Coturnix japonica: one gene and its partners. The protein of the gene in region 5 binds, or shares a complex with, the protein of the main gene of each other region. Links are inferred from orthologs where the notes say so. Each region holds a gene or a part of one and is shown on either strand. Other genes may lie near its edges.

Region 1 (3,514 bases), on a different chromosome or scaffold from region 5:
TTTGTTTTGGTTTTGTTATAGATGATTTTCAGACAGCCCAACTCTTGGCATTAATACTGGAATTGCTAACTTTCTGTGTAGAACATCATACTTACCACATAAAGAACTACATCATCAACAAAGATATCCTGCGAAGGGTGCTTGTTCTCATGGCCTCAAAGCATGCTTTCTTGGCACTGTGTAAGTTCAAACGCTGAAGAATAAACCAGTATTTTGTGAGTGTGAATTGCTGTGAATCTTCATTCTTCTGGAAGAAAACTTCTCACAGATGAGACAGTTTGTTACTGAACATAGAAATTCTGCTGTTTTCCTCCGTGTTTCTTAAACAGATTTACAGATATCAGAATTAGTAAATAATAACGTTTCTGTTTCAGGTGCCCTTCGTTTCAAGAGAAAAATAATTGGACTAAAGGATGAATTCTACAACCGCTACATAATGAAAAGTTTTTTGTTTGAACCTGTGGTCAAAGCATTTCTGAATAATGGTTCCCGTTATAATTTGATGAACTCTGCCATAATAGAGATGTTTGAGTTTATCAGAGTGGTGAGTGATGTTATATGCTGAAGTTAATAACTACTTGCTTCACCTTCTAGCTCAAGTAGACTTGTTATTTGTGCCATATGTTTGTGACATTATGTTATCATGGTATGGCGTGATATGCCCACATGACACTGTTTAAATGAACTGTCTTTTTTGTTCTCAGTGTTAACATATTTATTCTTTCTTATGTTTGAGTGGTATGATGGTGTGAAAATTAAATTCACTCAGAACTCAATGTATTTACAGAGTCATAGAATGGCTGAGTTTGGAAGGGACATTGGTTTAGTTCCAGCCTCTCTGTCATAGGCAGGATTGCCACCCACAAGATCAGGGTCCAATCCAACCAGGTCTTAAATGCCTTCAGGGATGGGGCACCCACAGCTTCTCAGGGCAGCCTGTGCCAGCGCCTCACCACCCTCTTCAGTAAAGAGAGCACAGCATTCAGTTGGAATAGCAAACAAAGTTAGGTTTTTTGTAGAGGAGCTTGTCTGGCACTGTGTGGCCACAAAAAAAAAAAAAAAAAGCTTATATTGGTTTTGGTTTTTTTTTGTTTAGTAATTACAACAGATAATAGTTAATCTATCAGTATACAAATATTTACAATTTGCAGCAGGACATACTTGTCAGAGTTGGTTTTAGAATTGTTTTCTACTGGAATTTTAGATTCTCATATAACACTCATATAATTTGAAGCATATATTCTTAGAAGATTACTACTCTTATGTCTGCTTCTCTAATCATATATTTGAAGCTCTAAACTATATGTGGTGGTGTTTTTTGTCATAAGCTAATAATTATGTTTTCTATTGAATATTTAAAAAATAGTGTCTCCATTCCTTTTTATGTTGCATTTAGAAATAGATTCACTTGAAGCAAAATAAGTCACTTTGTGTTTGTTCCATTCTGTAGGAAGATATAAAATCTTTAACGGCTCATGTGATTGAAAATTATTGGAAAGCACTGGAAGACGTAGATTATGTGCAGACATTCAAAGGACTGAAACTACGATTTGAGCAACAAAGGGAAAGACAAGATAATCCAAAACTTGATAGGTAACGGGCTCTAAATTATTTTACTATGATTTCTGTTTTGGGAATAATGATGGGTTTTTCTGCAATAACAGGAAGAGTAAATAATTTCAACTTGATTGTATCTCATCTGCTGTTGAATTTAATTGATTGATAGTGTGATTTCCAGATGTATTACTTCAAACTCTTGATCAACTTTAAGGTAACATATTTGCTGAAGGCAGACACATTCCCTCCCTTCCCTTCCTGTAAAGAAGTAATGCTGTTCATCCATTTCAGCTTCAAGAAATACATATTCATACCATAGCCAGACTCAGCTTTTATTTTATTCTTACACCTTGTGTGTGGCTTTGCAAGTCTTGTCACAGACCATGTCCTAAGTGAAATAAACAGATATAAAAATGCAATAATCATAATAATTTGCCTACACATTTTAACAAAGAATAGTTCATCAGTCAGTAAGGAGGCCAACATTGGCATTAACATATTTGGAAACTGCCACTTAAGTAATAATAGAAGTAATAGTTTTCCAGTAGGAGCAAAACTTTAATATAAATGCAGTTTAAAATGCTGTATATCACATAGATCCAGGTTATAATGTTGGCAAGTTAAAATAGTTTTAGCATCCTGCTGCCTCTCCTAGGGAAAAAGGTGGTGGAGCAAAGATAGACCCACACTTAATAAATAATCAAAGGGAGTGGTAAAAGTAGCATGTGGTATCTGAGGCCCTTAAAAATAGAAAATACTGATACCAAACAAAAATGGCAGATGCAGCAGGAAGAGACGACTGTCTTTTTAATATACCTACTTTTTAAAAAATGTATTTGACCTTAAATGCTGATGGGTTATATTAAGTGCAATAAGAAGAAATGTCAGTGGTTTCTAAACTTCTTTTTACAACCTTTTATTTACCACTGCAAATGACTCCAAGTCTGAATGCAGCACAGACATTGATTTGAAATAACATCTAATTGTGCTGTTAGTAAACTACAGAATTTTGTACAGTTGGTCTGAATATTCTTACTAGAACTGTAAGTCATGTAATGCTACAGAAGAAATGTTTTTAATGTTATTTGCATTGAAAATACAAATTGAAGTTGCACATTTGCAAATGATTTGCTGTACTAAAGATACTGACTACAGTATTTGCATCCATAAAATGTCCATGTAAATGTCAAGTAGGTGTTTTGTTATTGATGCGAGCTGATTGTTGAATCATAGTTTTTAAAACTTACTGTTCTTCAGTATGCGCTCCATTTTGAGAAACCACAGATACAGGAGGGATGCAAGAACCCTGGAGGATGAGGAGGAAATGTGGTTTAATACTGATGAAGATGATATGGAAGATGGAGAGGCAGTGGTACCCCCTTCTGACAAAACTAAAAATGATGAAGATATTATGGACCCTATAAGTAAATTCATGGAGAGGAAAAAATGTAAGTGATGAAAAGAATGACGTATGGCCTGTACAGAAAATGTAATTTGTATTCTGTGGTCATACTGAAGTGAAGCTTTTTATTCCTTTTTTTATTGAAGGTCACAGATTTAGGAATTGACACTGAGCTGTTGAACAACCACTTCAAATAAGTTTTATTATCTCTAAAAACCAAGTGATGCAAAAGCGTGTTTACTTCTTAAAGCATCTAAGTGATGATACTGGCTGATAGTCAGGCTTTTCCAAGGTCTATTCAGATTTATTCAGAACTTTCCACGTTCCTTGTGATGTTTTTGGTGGAATAAATAAGTGTTTGTTCCTGGCCAGTGACAACAGCAGCCAGGTGTAGTATAGGAGCAGGAAGAAAATCTATTATCGCTCTTATCAAGTTGTGCATGAAGTATTTTCCCACACAGAAAAATGATATGTCATTATTTGTTCAATAATGTTGCATTGGTTTTTGTTTTCGTGTTTCCTGTGCAGTAAAAGAGAGTGAAGAAAAGGAAGTTC
Region 2 (3,514 bases), on a different chromosome or scaffold from region 5:
GTTTTGGTCAAGAACTCCCTGTGCCGTTTTGGCTGAGCCAAAGAAGGGTCATACTCAAGGCATCCAACAACATCCATAATACACTCATCAGAAAACATCACCTCGAACAGAGTTGCTTTATTGAGGAACAAAATTCCTCTAATAATTTCATACAAATGATGCAAGCCTTCTGTGTTCTCTAAATTCTCGCAGACTTGGAAAAGCTGCAGTAGTTTTTTAATATAGCCTTCATTCTCCAAGGCCAGCGCTAGCTTTTCTCTACGGATGGGTGAGGAGAGAACAGAGGTAACTAGGTCAGCAATCTCTTCAAGTTTGTTGAGTTCGCAAGAAGGAAGGTCAATCAAAGGACTAGTTTCAGGCATTTCTTCTATGTGCTCCTCTTCAGACTCGATAAGGTCCTGCGTGACTTCCACTGAAGGATCCTTACCCTGAACCTAAAAAGAGTGCACACAGTTAACCATCACATCCCAACACATACGAAGGAGTAATCAAGTAGAAAAAATGTACATAAATCCTCTCATATATTCAGTTGCATGGAAAATTTCTAGCCATGAAGAGAAATATTTAAGTTTGCTGCCTATGAATTCTACAGAAGTCACTACCACTATCTCCAGTAGATATTGCCAAAATTCAAACAAATGAACCCACCAAAACCTAACCACATCTTTGCAATAAAAAGTATGAAGCACCCTGTAGATAAAAACAAAATGGAGAGAATAAAAAAAGGCATAATAAAGCCTTCTTTCAGTATCTCAAACCGAAGGGATAACTAGGGTATAAAGTCACATTAAGAGACCACAGCTACACTAACATGATGTGAACCATAACAAAAAGACCAAAAACAAAGGCATAAGGGTATAATGGATGCCCAAACTGAACAGGCAAAGAGGGATGCAACTGACTCCCACTCTGTACTCTCATTCTGTTGGGTATGCTCATTTCCTCTCCTGAGCCTACTAACACACCCTATACTTTTGATTTCCTTTACTGATCCTAAGATTCATAAACTCCTATCAGATCTCTCCCACAAAAGATCACCTCCCAAAGAGGAGTCTCAAAGTCCAAAGAGTTTTGAAATCCAGTGAAAGAACTAAGGCTAATGGCTGGCACCATCTGACCACACAAAGACCTTCCTCTCAGACTGATTATCAGATCAGTCCCACGCAGGCCTAACTGAAAACCTGCACTACATATTAGACATATCTGCAGCTACTGGCATCAGTTCCTTTCAGTATTTTACAACTGACAGAGAAGATTCAAACTCAGCATGTTTTGGAGTATAAACAAGCATCTTAATCAGCTATTTTGTTCAAAGGAAATTGCTCAGAAATCTGAGTTCTAAGTTTCATTAGTGACAGCTTCATGTTTCCAGAATCTGAGACAGTTAGGATCAATTCTGACACAAAAGCCTGGGTTTCTTCTGTGAAGTACACATAGGTGTAACTCCACTGAACTGTTATTAGAAGAATTGAAAGCATTGAGATCCAAACTCTGTTACCTAATAACAGAATGTAGACTGAAATATCTCTAAAGACATGGTGAGTAAGACTTAGGTCTTGACGGAAAAAATGACTGACATTTTGAGCAATGCCAGCAGTGCCTCTCTCTGAGGGAGAACTAGCCCCACATGTTATTACAACTGATTACACCTAGCTCTCTACAGGACAGTTAAAATCTGGCACTTTAGGTTTTCTAGTTTCTAACCTAAAAACAAGTCAAAAACTGTGTTTCTCTTATTGATTTTAAGAGCAGGAAGGTAAAAAAAAAACACATTTTGTTCTAAATAGTGGCAACTTCAGATTTTATACAGAAAAGCCACAGCAAGTAATGACAAAGACATGCTTATTTTACAAATAGGTTTGAAAAGCACAACACAAATACATGAAAACACAGAGGACACTAAAACATCTGCAAGAAACAATAGAAAAATTTAAGTGTACCTGGCAGATTTTTTCCCAGATTTCATCACAGCCAGCTTTTTCTTGAAAACTCAGTGCTAAGTCATAGTTCTCTGCTTCTGACCAAACAATCAAGGTGTCCTGTTTAAGACAAAAATATATATATCTATAACCAAATATATTCATTTCTCAGGCAGTTTAGATCTTCACCAGGGATTTAACTATATTCTGTTGAATCACATCTAAGGAATAAGTAATAATTAATGTTACCTTTGTCAAAAGAATATCACCCTTCTTTTTTCCTTTCTGAATGTCATCCTGTATATACATCTTTCCATATTGAAAACATTAATAATGGCATTTCTCTGCAATATACCTCCCAAGCCAGCAGTTCTGACTGTGCATATGAATGCACACAAAAAGTTCAGTAAATTTGTGATGTAAATATGAAAAACCTTAAATTCTTCTGAAGCTGTAGAAAAAAGTAAAAGATTATCATTTCCTTCTCAGAAGGAGTTTAATACAGCTGTAACAATATGAGAAATAAAGACTCGAGTATTACAAACCTGAACACATACAACATCTTTTCTAAACTAAAAGAACATAAGTAGAGTGGCTGAGAATTTCAGTGCATTAGGACTAAAACATGTGAGTTACCAGGTCTGTAGTAGAGCTGCCAGGCCAAGAACAAAGCCTGTGCTTGGACACCCAAATATGCAGTTCCACCTCCTACAATAAACCCATCTGCACATCAAAGAGCTTCAAACCATCTGCTCTCTGCTGACTTTGTGAAGCAGTTCAATGTTGTTACCTCTGTTGACTTCCTGAACTGCTACCACAACTTGTTTTAAACCCCAGTAAACCCTTGCTATGTGTCAATAAGGCAATTCCCTTCCTACTTTTGCAGAGGACAATATTAAGCACACAACTTGCTGAGGCCTGTAAGTCTTGATCCTTCCCCTTGTATATCACTTTTGTCACAAAATACTTTAGTGATGTGTTTGAGCTTAGCAATCAAACCCAAGCAAACCACTGGGTGGCTTACAGACACCCAACGTATTAGAGGAAAGCAATGGGCAACAAGGAAAAGAGGTCCCTGTGCTCTCTCCCTCACATCGTTACCTAGAAGGGCTTTCAATTGTCTTCCCAGGTGATCCCACTGCTTCTGCACCTCCTGCCAGAGTCAGCGTTCTTTAATCCTCCTTGACCCAAGCTGGGTTAGCTCAGATGCTGCAAGCAGAGCCGGCAGCAGCTAGGGGACTAGGGGACAGCACAGGGAGCAGGGAGCTGAGTTGCAGCTGCATGGCTCACACAGGGACTCTCCTCCCACACAGCATGCCAAATAACTGCTGCTGCAGCATCGCATACCAGCAGTTCTCTACAGAGGTTCTGCAGTGTTCTTGTAGTAGGCAAACACAGCACTATGCTTTCATATTTGCTTCTCATGCATACTGTTTCTTTTCTTATGGCAACCTTGTTGATGAAGACCTACTACTAAATGGGCTTCTGTATTCCACAGGAAGACCACAAGCCACACTAAACAACAGCAATTGTACAAGCTCAATTATTTTCCCCCCATTTGTCCATTTTTCCTTAAAGAAACAGGTCTTCCCTAG
Region 3 (4,270 bases), on a different chromosome or scaffold from region 5:
AAACAAGGGTGAAATTACAGCTTAACCTATACCTGTGTGTACCTGCTCCTAGTTCACTGGGATGAATAAGAACACTCAAACCAACGAGGGCAGGGAGGTACTCAATGGCTTACAGGAGACCATGTTTTCAACCTGTAAGGCAAGTGATGCACGCCATGATCATGCTTCTATATTAACCTTGAAAAAAAAAGCACTATAATTTACTTTATTAACATCACTTTCAAGTAATTTTTTATTTGTTTTTTCACAAGAACTGCTACGATGATGGCTGGAAGAGGTGTGCAGTGTGAAGGGCGAGAACATGGCATCTGAACCCAAGACAGAACAGAAGCAACAGCTGTCAGAGCAAGATAGAAAGCAGGGAGAACCTCCCCCCACATCATATAACACTACTAGAAACAACTCAAAGAAAACCATGTCACGTTTCACTTGTCCCTGTTTGCCTTGGTCCTCACACACACACAGGTACTTTGTGCTGCTCTAGGAACAGGCTGTGACTGAGCGAAACCCATTGTGCTCCAGTAAGCCGCAAGATTGTGCAATTACAAACTTAATCGTGTTTGTTCGTTTGTTTTAAACTGAGCTCTGAGCTGCAAAACAACCCTAATAAATGTTACTACAGAATTATGTTTGTGACATTCATCATCTTAACATCAAACAATGCATTTCTTACTGTTTGAGATTTCTACTGAATAGATAATAAATGCATAAACTAGGTATTAAATGTATAAAATGAATTAAAGGATACTCAGCTCATTTCAAATTGATACATTCCTCCTGAATGTATTACATATGATTCTTATAAGCACACTAATGCTCTTTACATGGACCATAATGAAATTTTAATTTCCACTGATTCCCTCCTGATATTTTGATGTGTAACATACCAGTGAAAACAGAAACAAATTAGATGAAATAGAATTCAACAGACAATGGGAAGCAAACCAAGTGGTACAGAACAGCATTCCCATGACATCCTCCAGATTGTAGTGAATGCTTCTGATGCTCAGATCTGACACTTAAAAAAATAATAATAAAATTGATGTAACTGGAAGGTTTGAAAATATTGAAAACAATGCTACAGATCAGAGAAAGAGTAAAAAAAAAAACGAACACACAAAAGGGCAGGGCCTGCATGAGGCTCCTGGTGGCTGCCATCAGGGTGAAGGCAATCACTGTTAATAACTAAGCACAACCCTGAGCCCACACTGAGTGAAGCGCTGTCCCAAAGCATCGAGTATCACAACTGTGTATGTCTGCTGAGCCACAGCCTCTTATTCAAAGACCGAAGTACATTTCACAACTTGTTTTTCCTTCAAAACCACCGACTCCAATAATACTGGGAAGACGGGGGGGGGAAAAAAGAAGGGAAAAGAAAGAACAATGTCCCGCGGGTCGGGGAAGCCGGGAGGCAGAACAAAGGCCGGCACTAGGCCTCGCAAACAAGGAGCCCGGCTGCCACAAAGTGAGCCACCAGCGGCAGCGCGAGCAGACGAGCCGTCCCACTTCCTGCCAAACACTGAGCAACACGGAAGTTACCGCACGCAGCACGGCCCAGCCCGCAGCGGGGTGACCCGGAGCGGCGGAATGGGGCCTGGGTGTGAGGGAGTGCGGGGACACGGGCTGTATGGGCATGGAACGGCTGGGGGCGGGACGTGGACGAGCTGAGCTGTTACAGGGGCACGGCACAATAACACTGAGCAAAACTCCCATTAAAAAACAAAAATAAACGTCGCATCAACTTTTGATAGAGCAACAGGTTTCATGTGCTGGGCAGGGTAACACCTGGAACACACCTCTGACCTGTGCGAGAAGAGGCTCCTCGTTAGATAAAGCTGCCAGCAAACAGAACTAATCCAGCCAGGTTCAGCACACGGCCAGGGGAGCTCAGTTAGCACAGCTCACTTAAACCAGCACAGCTCAGTTAGCACAGCACAGCTCAGCCCAGCACAGCCCAGCTCCGGAGCAGCCCGTTCCCGCAGCACACACAGCACTTACATGGTCTCTCCCGTCTTGGCGACATGGCAGAGGAACTGGTCCAGGATGGGGCACACCTCCTTCTTCCCTCTCTTCTCAAAATCTGGTGGCACGAGAGGAATGGGAACAGAAAGACAAGAAGATTATATTAAACATCGCAACCACCACTTCAACTACAGCGTGACTCCCTCAGAAACACCCCCTGCTTCAACAGCGCCTCGGCTGATCCCAGCAGCTCCTCCAACTTTCCAGCCCTGGAAAACGCCGATCTATTTCATGGTGGAGAATCGCGCACCTGGGCGGCAAAAGTTGGTGCGCGACTTCAGGGCAACGGCGGCTGGAGCTGGTTCCCTGCTCGGGGACGGGACGGGCCGCAAAGGCCGAGACGGGGCGAGCTGAGGCGGAGCGGGGCGAGGGAGCGCCGGGAGGAGCACAGGGCGAGGGCAGCCCGGGGGCTGTGGGCCCAGGCCCGGCCCTCCCCGTCCCCACGGCGAATCCCCGGCCGCTCCCACCTCACGGACCCCGCGGCTCCCACCCCGGAGCAGTTCCGCTCACCCCCGGCCCCTACAAGTCCCCGCTGGGCCCCGCTGCTCCCCTCAGCGCGGGGACACCGCTCCCCCACCCCCCGCCGCTCGCCCGGCAGCACCTTTCAGCGCCTCCTGCAGCCTCTCGACGTCCATGATCCGCACCGCCGATCCCTCCGCGCTGCTCCCCTCCGCCGTCCCCCCCCACCCCGCACAGCAAACTGGCTCCCAGCGCCGCTCGGCACGGACACAAACCGGGCTCAGCAACCTTCCAACATGGCGCCCGGGCCGTCCCCGTGCGCGGCCCCGACAGCCCGCCCTCCTGCCCGCCGCGGGGCGGGGCCGCGCGAGCCCTGAGGGAGGCGGGAACGGGCGGGAACGGGCGGCGGGAGCGTCACCTCAGGGCGGGCGTGTAGAATTGGGGATCGGGAGCGAACGGGAGGGAAAAATGAGGCAAATTCGGGGCCTCTGTGTGAGCAGCGAGTAACGGTGTGATGTATGAAGTGCTGCGATGGAGCGCCGGGTGACACAACTGCCGGTTCGGTGCCGCGGACCAACCGTTTAATTAACGGTGAATGGGATTTCCAGCAGGAGGTTCTGGCACTTCGACCTGTACGTGTCCCGTGTTGCCTGTCCACAGGCAGCATCACAGCTTGTCTGAGCGAGATGGCATTAAAACCATTAGTGAATCCAGCTGCCAGCTTTCTGCTGGTCACTTTGCTCATCTCAGAGATGCAATGGAAGAAGCAGCAGTGGCAGCACACCTTCACTTCCCTCTGGTTAACTTCGTTATTTTTACAAAGGTACCAAAGTGCACTTAAAGCAACACAACCAATACCTGCCTTTGCAACCTTGAGCACAGCTGAAGAGTGGAGAACCCACCTTTCCTGGTAGCCCTGAAGCAGAGGAGGGCAGCCCTGCATGCTGCAAACACACATCCCCTCATCTACCTGAAAAAAATACTGCAACTCCTCCATGTCCAAGGGATAAACATTAAATGTAATCCTAGAATACAGAAAGCTTGTGTGGAGTTTCATCACTGATATGCTGTGTGACCTCAAGCAAAGGAGTTGGGCAATCACACCTGAGTGTCTTTATTAACTACACAGAAATGGTAATTGCACTCTTTGGGAGGTATTTGGCACACCTTGCAATAGGAGCACACAAATCATGTCATTCAAATCCCCAGTGCTACTTAGGGAGTATTTACTGTGGAACAATAATGAAAAGACTCATCACGTTAGGAAAGAAAAAAGGGCATTTTTAAACACATAACAAAAGCAGGAGAAATTGATTTCCAATGCAGATATTTCTCCCTTTGCATTACATTCACATGAAGCCTATTTCAGATTTGCATTTTGCATTTCTTTTCAACTTCTGCAAAGCACTTTTTGAGAGAGAGCAGGACAAAGTCCAATACCTTAACAGGATGAATCCAATTCTGCCTGATGCAACTGAACTACTCTCTCTTTTCACATGGTCTTACACTCGAGTTCAGGTCAAGCACTGATGTGATAAGACTTGTGTTCATATTCATCAGTACTGGAGGAAGATACAGATGACACGTACAAGTTCTATAGCATACTGTACTTCCACATTCTCCTCTTCCTGAAATATCATCAGAAATCAAAACCAACTAGAAACCAAGGGACAGCAATACAACCACATCATGCTATGCAGACAGAGAACAGGCAGAAACTCTAATATTGTCAGTTCTGACGGATCTGCAAGAGAGAAACTTTGCAGCAACCAAAAACGGCCTTCCTTCC
Region 4 (4,108 bases), on a different chromosome or scaffold from region 5:
AAGATGTTGGATGTCTCCAGAGCCAGGACTCAGAGAACATTTTATAAAGCTCTTCCTGCCTGGTCACTTTTCCTATTTACAAAGGAGATTTTAAAACAGTATCTTGTTGTGCCTCATCACCATTCTTGAAACCAGGGACTGTCTGGGCTTTCTGTTACATAACAGAACATTATTTATTTGTACTTTGGATCAGGGTTTGGTCTGGTTTTGTTTTACTGTTCCAGTGATTTAAATGAGCGTGGGGTTTGGCATATAAAGCACACAGAGAAATAACGCACTGTGTTCATTTCTTACTGAATAAAAGCGGAGATACTGATTATAAAATCAAAGTTTATCAAATTCTCAGCAATAGGCTGTATAGCATTACCAATTTATGGAATTACCAGAAACTCCCTAGCTACCGGCACTGTTGTGGATTCCTATCCTGTCCACTCCCAAAAGTGCTGTCATACCGAATTCTTCAGAAAGAGAACGTTCTCCATGTTATTTGTCCATCCTTAAAAGGGCAAAAATTGGCTTTTTCATTTTTTAAGTACTGTCCTCGTACATCCAGTGTACTCTGTATAAATTCTACAGACTCAGAAAGAGTCCCTGTGCCAGAGGGGAGGTAAAGGGCAGTAAGGAGGAAGAACACGTGTGAGTGATGCACTCGCTAGAGGATCGCTAATCACTGCCAAGTTTGTCGGTTATCTTACTGAAATTGAGTTTTTAAAGCGTTAATCGGGAGAGGAACCTGCTTTGGACTTTTCACTAAACTCACAACGTTTCCAGCTTCGTTCTAGGTTTGCTTCGAAATAGTTTGGAGAGTTGGGGGGAGGGTACGGCTCAGGTGCTACCAATCACCGGGCCGGGAGGGAAGGAGATGCTTCGGACGGCACCGCAGGGTCGGAAACACCCAGAGAGACTGTAGGGACCATGGAGAGGTCTGCGTGGTCACAGCCGCGCCGGGGAACGCGGGCAGAGGAGCCGCGAGGGGGCGGATCGGATCTCGCCGCTCTCGGAGCCGTTCGGTCCCGCGTTGCCCCGGCGACCGGCTCGTGGTGCTGGGGCGGCCCGGTTGCGGAGGCTGCCGGTGTGCGGGGCTGCCCCGGCTCTGCCCGCAGCTCTCGCCCCCGCTCTGCCCGCGGCGCCGTGCGCTACGTCCGCCTCGGGGGCTGCGCTGCCGGAGCGGGACGGAGGCGGGGAGCATCACTGCGCCACGGCCACCGACCGTCCCTCCCCCTGGGGCGGGGGGGCGGCACCCGGGCTGCGCGGCGAGGCTGCTCCGCTCCGTGCCCCGGCGGCGAGCGGTGGTACCCGCAGCCCGGCACTAAGCGGCGAGGAGGGGAAAGTTGGCTCCTAATACCCCCACCGGAGGGTTACCGGGAGGGGCACATCCCGCTCCCTGCTCGGTCGGGAAAGCGGCCGTACAAAGTTTGGCGGCCGTGCCGCAGTGTGCCGGGCTCCCGGTGGCGGTAGGCACGGAGGGGGCGTTGCGCGGTGCCGGCAGCGCTATGTGAGCCGCGGGCGGAGAGGCGGCTGCCGGGGGCTGCGGCGCGTCCATGCGCCCCATACCCTGCTCCAGAGACATGGATTTTGGGCAGAGCAATCTGTTCGGGTACATAGAAGACCTGCAGGAACTAACTATTATAGAGCGGCCGGTGCGCAGGAGCCTGAAGGTATGTGCTCGGAAATAGAACGATGCTTTGCAATCCGTGTGTGATTGTTGCTGGATGCGTTTGTAGGCAGCTGTCCGGATAGGTGGTCTGTTTTACTGCGCCGGGGTATCAGAGATTGTTTTCAGTCATTTTGGAGTAAAGCATATTGAACTCTAGGTTTCTAATATTCTCATCATGAGACTGCTATGCTGGGGGGAAAATAAATAAATAAATAAATAAAAAGAAAGAAAACCAACAAAAAAGAAACTAAAACAAAAAACAGACTTACTTTGGCTTTTAGGTTAATGTACATGTGACTGATTTTATACTTTCTTTCAAGTGTTGAATAGCGATAGTGTCTGACATGGGGCTGTGCTTCAGTTTCAGCCCCTTTCCCCCAGTGAGGGATCAGTGGGACTGAATTTGAGATGTTGGCTCAGGGATAGTGTTGAGATCGCTCCTGGAGCATCCCTGGGTGTGGGGAAGAGGGGATTGGTAAAAGAGGATTAAAATAAGGCAGTGGTAAGGCATTGTTAACTCATAATCTCTATTTCACACTCGATAGACACCAGAAGAAATAGAACGATTGACAGTTGATGAAGAACTCAATGACATTGAAAGGGCTCTTTACCTGCTCAGGTATTTCCTCCAGCATTACTGTGAAACATTACTTACCTTTGTGTTTACATATGGCTTTTTTAGTGCTGTTATTCTTCATTCTCTTCATTTTCTGTCTTGTAGTAGTTGTTGTCTCTTACTTTCTGCTATGCTGGATGTCTAAGTAAGGTAAAGACAGATACCATAGTTGTGCTTTTTAAAGTTGCAGAGCCTATGATGCCTGTGTAGGTGTACCAACATTTTTGTTTCTAATATGGCTTTCACCAACATTGAGTTGTACTTCATCTTCTTTACCCCAGCAGATGGTTTTGTAAAAACCTCGAGTGTTAACATTAGTAATGCCCTTTATTCAATGCCTTCATATTCACTGTGAAGTATGAGTGGTTACACATGCTGATAACAGAGCTACTTCAATACATCTCAGCTTTCAGAAGAGAAGACTTGAGAGATTAGTTTTGTAGTCCTTATGCAGTACTGTGGAAGATGCTCTGTTAATGCTTCCCTGTGACTTTTCATTGTACCACCCTCTTCATGTTCTTTAAAGAATTTTGCTTGCAGTTACTGGACAACTTAAATGCTGATATTCTAAAAAACAGATCACTTTCAGCAATTGTGTGTCATCTCTGAGATTACAAATGCTCTGAGGGATTTTGATTTGAGTATTTGTTTTTGCACAATACATAGTAATTGGAGAACCAGCTGCAGCTCCCTCTCAGTTTGCTTATTTTGCTGTTCTAAGTGTTCTTCTGGTCTATTACTGCCCTCAGTGTTTAGAGTACATAATCCCGATGCCTTAGTTTTCCCTTTCTGGGATGTGTGGCATTATTTTTAGGTAAGGACTTTTGCCTACTGGTATTACTCTTAGTAGTGAGTTTCTTTTGATGCTAAATTTTATTAAATACTGATTTAGAATCTTTTGTGTTGGAAATAGTTCCTGTAGTCAAAATAATCTGAAAGCAATCTGTTGACTCTAGGGAAATTCAGAGAAGGCATTTTGTATGTGGTGCATATCATTCGAGAAAATCACATCAATTTCATTTTGTACCTCACAGTAATCAGCTGGGCTGGCTTCCACCCACTCCCCTTATCAGCTCCCTTTCCTGTAGCCACAAATTTCTTTCTTTTTCTTTTTTTTTTTTTCTTTCTTTTCTTTTTTTCTCTTTTCTCAATAAAAATGATGTTTCAAGCAGTATGTCATTACTGGATCATTGCCTTGTTAAAGGGTGAAAGGTTCTACGTCATATCTTTCATGTTACTAATTACTTTTGAACTTGGCCTTGAATTTCTCTTGGTATCTTCATCTGCTTTCTCTCTACATGAACAGCTGTTTTGGAGAAATAATATTCATTTCCTTGTGCTGAAATGTTCATTATTTTTGCCTCTTCATAAACCTTTGTACTGAAAGGTGGCTTCATCTCTGCTTGCTAAGCTTTCTGTAAAGCAATCACTTGCTGTGATTGTTCAGGTATGTTAATACACTAATCCAGGGGAAGCTTTTGCTCGATGCTGCTCTCCTTGCACCAAGTAGGATATCAGCAGAGTTGAAAAGCTGCTTGCAACACAAATGGTATCCTTTATGTAATGCACAGAGGTATATATTTTTGGCTTGTCTGCTGTTTTTCATCTATTATAACACAATATCCCTGACTGTTCCTGTTGGACAGCAATGTAAACTTAGACTTTTTGTGCCTCATTTTCTCATGCAGATGTATTATTTGACTTCCTTAAGGTTATCCATTTAATAATAATAATAATAATAATAATAATAATAATAATAATAATAATAATAATAATAATAATGGAATAACAGTAATTAAAAGTATATATCTTACCTTCAGTATCTACAAATAGTA
Region 5 (3,514 bases):
TTTATGAAGCATCTACTTCTTGTTTTTTGCAGGCTTGTTTTATGAGGGGTTTAAATTTCATCTGTGCAAAATTTTTATCCACAGCAAATCTTGAATCCTTGAATTCTCTTTGTCATTACTTTCTGTTCTGTTCTCTTTATTGATTTCTTTTTGTTGCGTGTGTGGGGGCTTTTGTTTGTTTACTTTGGATAAAATAATAAGCATATTTGATAATTAAAAATTCTTCTGTGTCAAAACAGTCAGCAAATTGATATTTTAAAGGAAAAATGGCAGAAGCTGTTTTGTCCTTTCCCTTTTAAAATTTAGAATTGTATGTAAGAAGTTAAAACTGTCACTTTCCTTGGTATAATACACATGTGCAGTACTTTTATATTAGGGAAATGCAGATGGACCATGCTCTCAGACATGGTATGACTTTTTCAGTGTCCCTTTGTGGAGCTGGTAGTTGGACTTGATGATACTTACGTTGGACCCTTCCAACTCAGAATATTCTGTGTTTCTATGACCAATATAAAGTATTTTCAATTATTTTTTTCAAATTGTAGAGAAGATAACAGGTAACACTTAACCATGTTGTTAAACAGTGATATTTCTGTTGTCAGAAAATTTCTCAAGTATTGGAACAGTCAGATCTTTTCAGTTCAAGAACTGAATTTTTTCTTTTCAGTAGTTCTTCCTGATTTTACTTTTCTATATCAGAAAATTAAATGTAAAAAAAAGCTCTGCTGAGCTGACATAGAATTGTGTATTGTGCAAGCATTCCTAACTAGTGTCTGTCTATCTTGCCGTTAGATCATGTGCAAAATGGCCTCCATGGTGGGAAAGGACATCACGGAAAGACTTGTTCTTCCTAGGTTTTGTGAGATGTGCTGTGACTGCAGAATGTTTCATGTTCGTAAGGTACGTATTATCAGCACCTCATCTGGATTATCTGTGAAAGTAGTGTCATTGGTTTGGAACTTGCCTTTGTCTAAATGACACCTTCCTGCTAGATTACATCTGTATTCACTTATGTATCTGAATACATAAGTGAAAGCTTATGGGGTTTCTTTGTGGTTCATATTTCCACAGACTTTATATTTGATGCTGACTACTTTTCCCTGAGTATCTACCTTTATTATTAGAAACAAAGAAAGAGCTGTCCTTACGATTGTGCAGGTAGCTGTGAAAATGTGAACCAGCTGGAACTGATAAAGCATCAGCTACCTGAGCTCATACCGCTGTGCATAGACATAAAGATGCTCATTAAGATGAGGCAAGCTAGTATGCCATCGTGAAACTTAGGTGTTGAGGCTGCGTTTTGGTTTCACCTTGCTATTGGATAGCTGCTTCTCCTTTGTAATTGCTTGTATTATTTCATTTGACGGCACTTTGAATGTATTCCTTCCCTTTCACTTATGTTTTGGGGTGGTTCTTTCAGGATTAAATCATTAATCAAGCTTATAAAGAGAAAGTTAAACAAAAACTGAAGAAGAACTTAAAAAGAATATATATATATATATATATATATGTATGTATGTATATGTATATTCTTTTAAAGTTTATATATATATATTTATATATATGTATGTATGTATTTAACACCATAGAAATAGGTAGAATGAAGAAGTGGCAGATTCTGAGTTAGTGCCAAATATTGTTTCTGTAGTTGTAAAAGCTGTTTGGTTATTTCTTTTGACTTTTTATGCTGTACTAAAAAATTGTCACAGTGGTTATTTCTTGCATTTCATTTGTAAGGTGTGTGCAGCCAACTTCGGAGATATCTGCAGTGTGGTTGGGCAGCAGGCCACTGAAGAAATGCTGGTAAGCTGCCTATTAAGGGATTTTTCTTTTTAGTACAAGTCAGTAGTGGAGTTAGATGTGGGGACAGTGAAGGACAGATAAAACAATTTAACTGCTATGTTCTCTTAGTAAGAAGAATCTATAACAGCATGACTTTTCAGTTTGGCTGGTACAAGGTTTTCTTTGAGATTAATAAAATTTTGACGACCGTTAATACAGACTTCTTAGAATCCTTAGGGTTGGAAGGCACCTTTAAAAATCATCTAGTCCAACTTCCCTGCAGTGAACAGGGACATCACAGCTAGATCTGGTTGCCCAGGACCTGTCCCAACCTCACCTTGAAAGTCTTCAGGGACCGGGGCATCAGCTATGTCTGTGGGCAACCTGTTCCAGTGCCTCACTACTCTCACTGTAAAAGACTTTTTCCTTATGCCTTATTTAAATCTACCCTCTTCAAGCTTGAAACCATTTCCCCTTGTTCTGTCACCACAGACCCTGCTAAACAACAGGTTCCCTTCTTTCCTGTAGCTCCCCTTCAAGTACTGAAAGGCTACTATCAGGTCACCTTGCTGCCTTGCTGCCTTAGTCTACAGCTGAGAGGGTTTAAAACGGCCTTCAGGTTGTGAAGGTAGAGAATGTCAGTGAATTTTAAAAGATACTGGGCGAGAAAAGGACAGGATTGTATCTTCTAATGTCTATAATGCAATGAGAAATTACAGATACAGAAGTGTAAGAGGAGAGTAGGCTGCTAGGAGGGGCGAGTTTGATAGGATCAATTGATGTTATTCTTCAGATATGTGAATATTCCCTGTCTGTATCTGCAGGTAACGTGAGTGCCAGTGATTAGAAGGGTGGTGCTACTGAATGTGTGTTTTGTCTTGTGCACGTTAAACTGAGCTATCTGTTGAGTGTGAGGGCAGAGAATTTGATGAAGGAAATGAGCATGGAAAGGAACCCACTTTGAAACAAGTACTGCCTGTTAAGACTTGCAACTTGCTGTGTTCTGAACAGTTGCCGAGGTTTTTCCAGCTCTGCTCTGATAATGTGTGGGGAGTTCGGAAAGCCTGCGCTGAATGCTTCATGGCAGTTTCTTGTGCAACATCACAGGAAGTTCGGCGGACAAAGTTGTCAACCCTTTTTATTAATTTGATTAGTGATCCTTCGCGATGGGTAAGAAATGCTTCTTATTTCTTGAACTGCTCTTCAATACAGTTTAATGGTTTGACTGTGATATCCCACATAGAACTTCTCCCCATAGGTGTGGATAACTTGTTTTATGCATCTTGAGCAAGATTCTTGTTGGAATGCTTGGTTTTACAGTGGGTGTAAACATTTCTTTCTATTTCCACCTCACCATGTAAGAAAAACTGGGCCACCAGGACCACTTTTCTTAGCTGCAGAACTAGCTATGACTTAACAATGCTAAAGATCATCATCAGATCTAAAAAAATTAGTTAGAATTTATATCTATTTCCCAGACCACTACCAACGCTTCCTTTTTTGTCTCCAGGGTCTACGTTTTAAACATTAAGTTTGTTATTGAGCAGGCTACTTCCACGAGCAGACTTATGACCCTTCCTATTTCTAACAATGGAGTTTTGTGTTTCATAAGAATGTAATATTTATATTTAATTTTCCTTGGACCTTTTCTACTAGGTCCGACAAGCTGCTTTTCAGTCCTTGGGGCCTTTCATATCAACTTTTGCTAATCCATCCAGCAGTGGTCAGTATT

What was found.
Region 1: PPP4R1 (region 5) and PPP4R3A share a complex: the UniProt entries of both Homo sapiens proteins name them as parts of the PP4 complex. The link is inferred for Coturnix japonica from reciprocal best matches to the Homo sapiens genes PPP4R1 and PPP4R3A.
Region 2: PPP4R1 (region 5) and PPP4R3B share a complex: the UniProt entries of both Homo sapiens proteins name them as parts of the PP4 complex. The link is inferred for Coturnix japonica from reciprocal best matches to the Homo sapiens genes PPP4R1 and PPP4R3B.
Region 3: PPP4R1 (region 5) and PPP4R2 share a complex: the UniProt entries of both Homo sapiens proteins name them as parts of the PP4 complex. The link is inferred for Coturnix japonica from reciprocal best matches to the Homo sapiens genes PPP4R1 and PPP4R2.
Region 4: PPP4R1 (region 5) and PPP4R4 share a complex: the UniProt entries of both Homo sapiens proteins name them as parts of the PP4 complex. The link is inferred for Coturnix japonica from reciprocal best matches to the Homo sapiens genes PPP4R1 and PPP4R4.

The regions. Positions count from the first base shown.
Region 1 is NC_029520.1:40,224,053-40,227,566, reverse strand, and holds part of PPP4R3A (serine/threonine-protein phosphatase 4 regulatory subunit 3A), read left to right. Parts: intron 1-21; coding exon 22-180; intron 181-374; coding exon 375-544; intron 545-1,450; coding exon 1,451-1,593; intron 1,594-2,814; coding exon 2,815-3,005; intron 3,006-3,487; coding exon 3,488-3,514. UniProt on the Homo sapiens protein: Regulatory subunit of serine/threonine-protein phosphatase 4. May regulate the activity of PPP4C at centrosomal microtubule organizing centers.
Region 2 is NC_029518.1:7,238,169-7,241,682, reverse strand, and holds part of PPP4R3B (serine/threonine-protein phosphatase 4 regulatory subunit 3B), read right to left. Parts: intron 2,040-3,514; coding exon 1,941-2,039; intron 435-1,940; coding exon 1-434. UniProt on the Homo sapiens protein: Regulatory subunit of serine/threonine-protein phosphatase 4 (PP4). May regulate the activity of PPP4C at centrosomal microtubule organizing centers.
Region 3 is NC_029527.1:13,926,308-13,930,577, reverse strand, and holds the start of PPP4R2 (serine/threonine-protein phosphatase 4 regulatory subunit 2), read right to left. Parts: upstream 2,808-4,270; 5' UTR 2,658-2,807; coding exon 2,624-2,657; intron 2,528-2,623; exon of another isoform or gene 2,273-2,527; intron 2,081-2,272; coding exon 1,999-2,080; intron 57-1,998; exon of another isoform or gene 33-56; intron 1-32. UniProt on the Homo sapiens protein: Regulatory subunit of serine/threonine-protein phosphatase 4 (PP4). May regulate the activity of PPP4C at centrosomal microtubule organizing centers.
Region 4 is NC_029520.1:41,201,758-41,205,865, forward strand, and holds the start of PPP4R4 (serine/threonine-protein phosphatase 4 regulatory subunit 4), read left to right. Parts: upstream 1-1,299; 5' UTR 1,300-1,541; coding exon 1,542-1,658; intron 1,659-2,202; coding exon 2,203-2,276; intron 2,277-4,108. UniProt on the Homo sapiens protein: Putative regulatory subunit of serine/threonine-protein phosphatase 4.
Region 5 is NC_029517.1:88,769,203-88,772,716, forward strand, and holds part of PPP4R1 (serine/threonine-protein phosphatase 4 regulatory subunit 1), read left to right. Parts: intron 1-792; coding exon 793-900; intron 901-1,737; coding exon 1,738-1,803; intron 1,804-2,793; coding exon 2,794-2,952; intron 2,953-3,438; coding exon 3,439-3,514. UniProt on the Homo sapiens protein: Regulatory subunit of serine/threonine-protein phosphatase 4. May play a role in regulation of cell division in renal glomeruli. The PPP4C-PPP4R1 PP4 complex may play a role in dephosphorylation and regulation of HDAC3.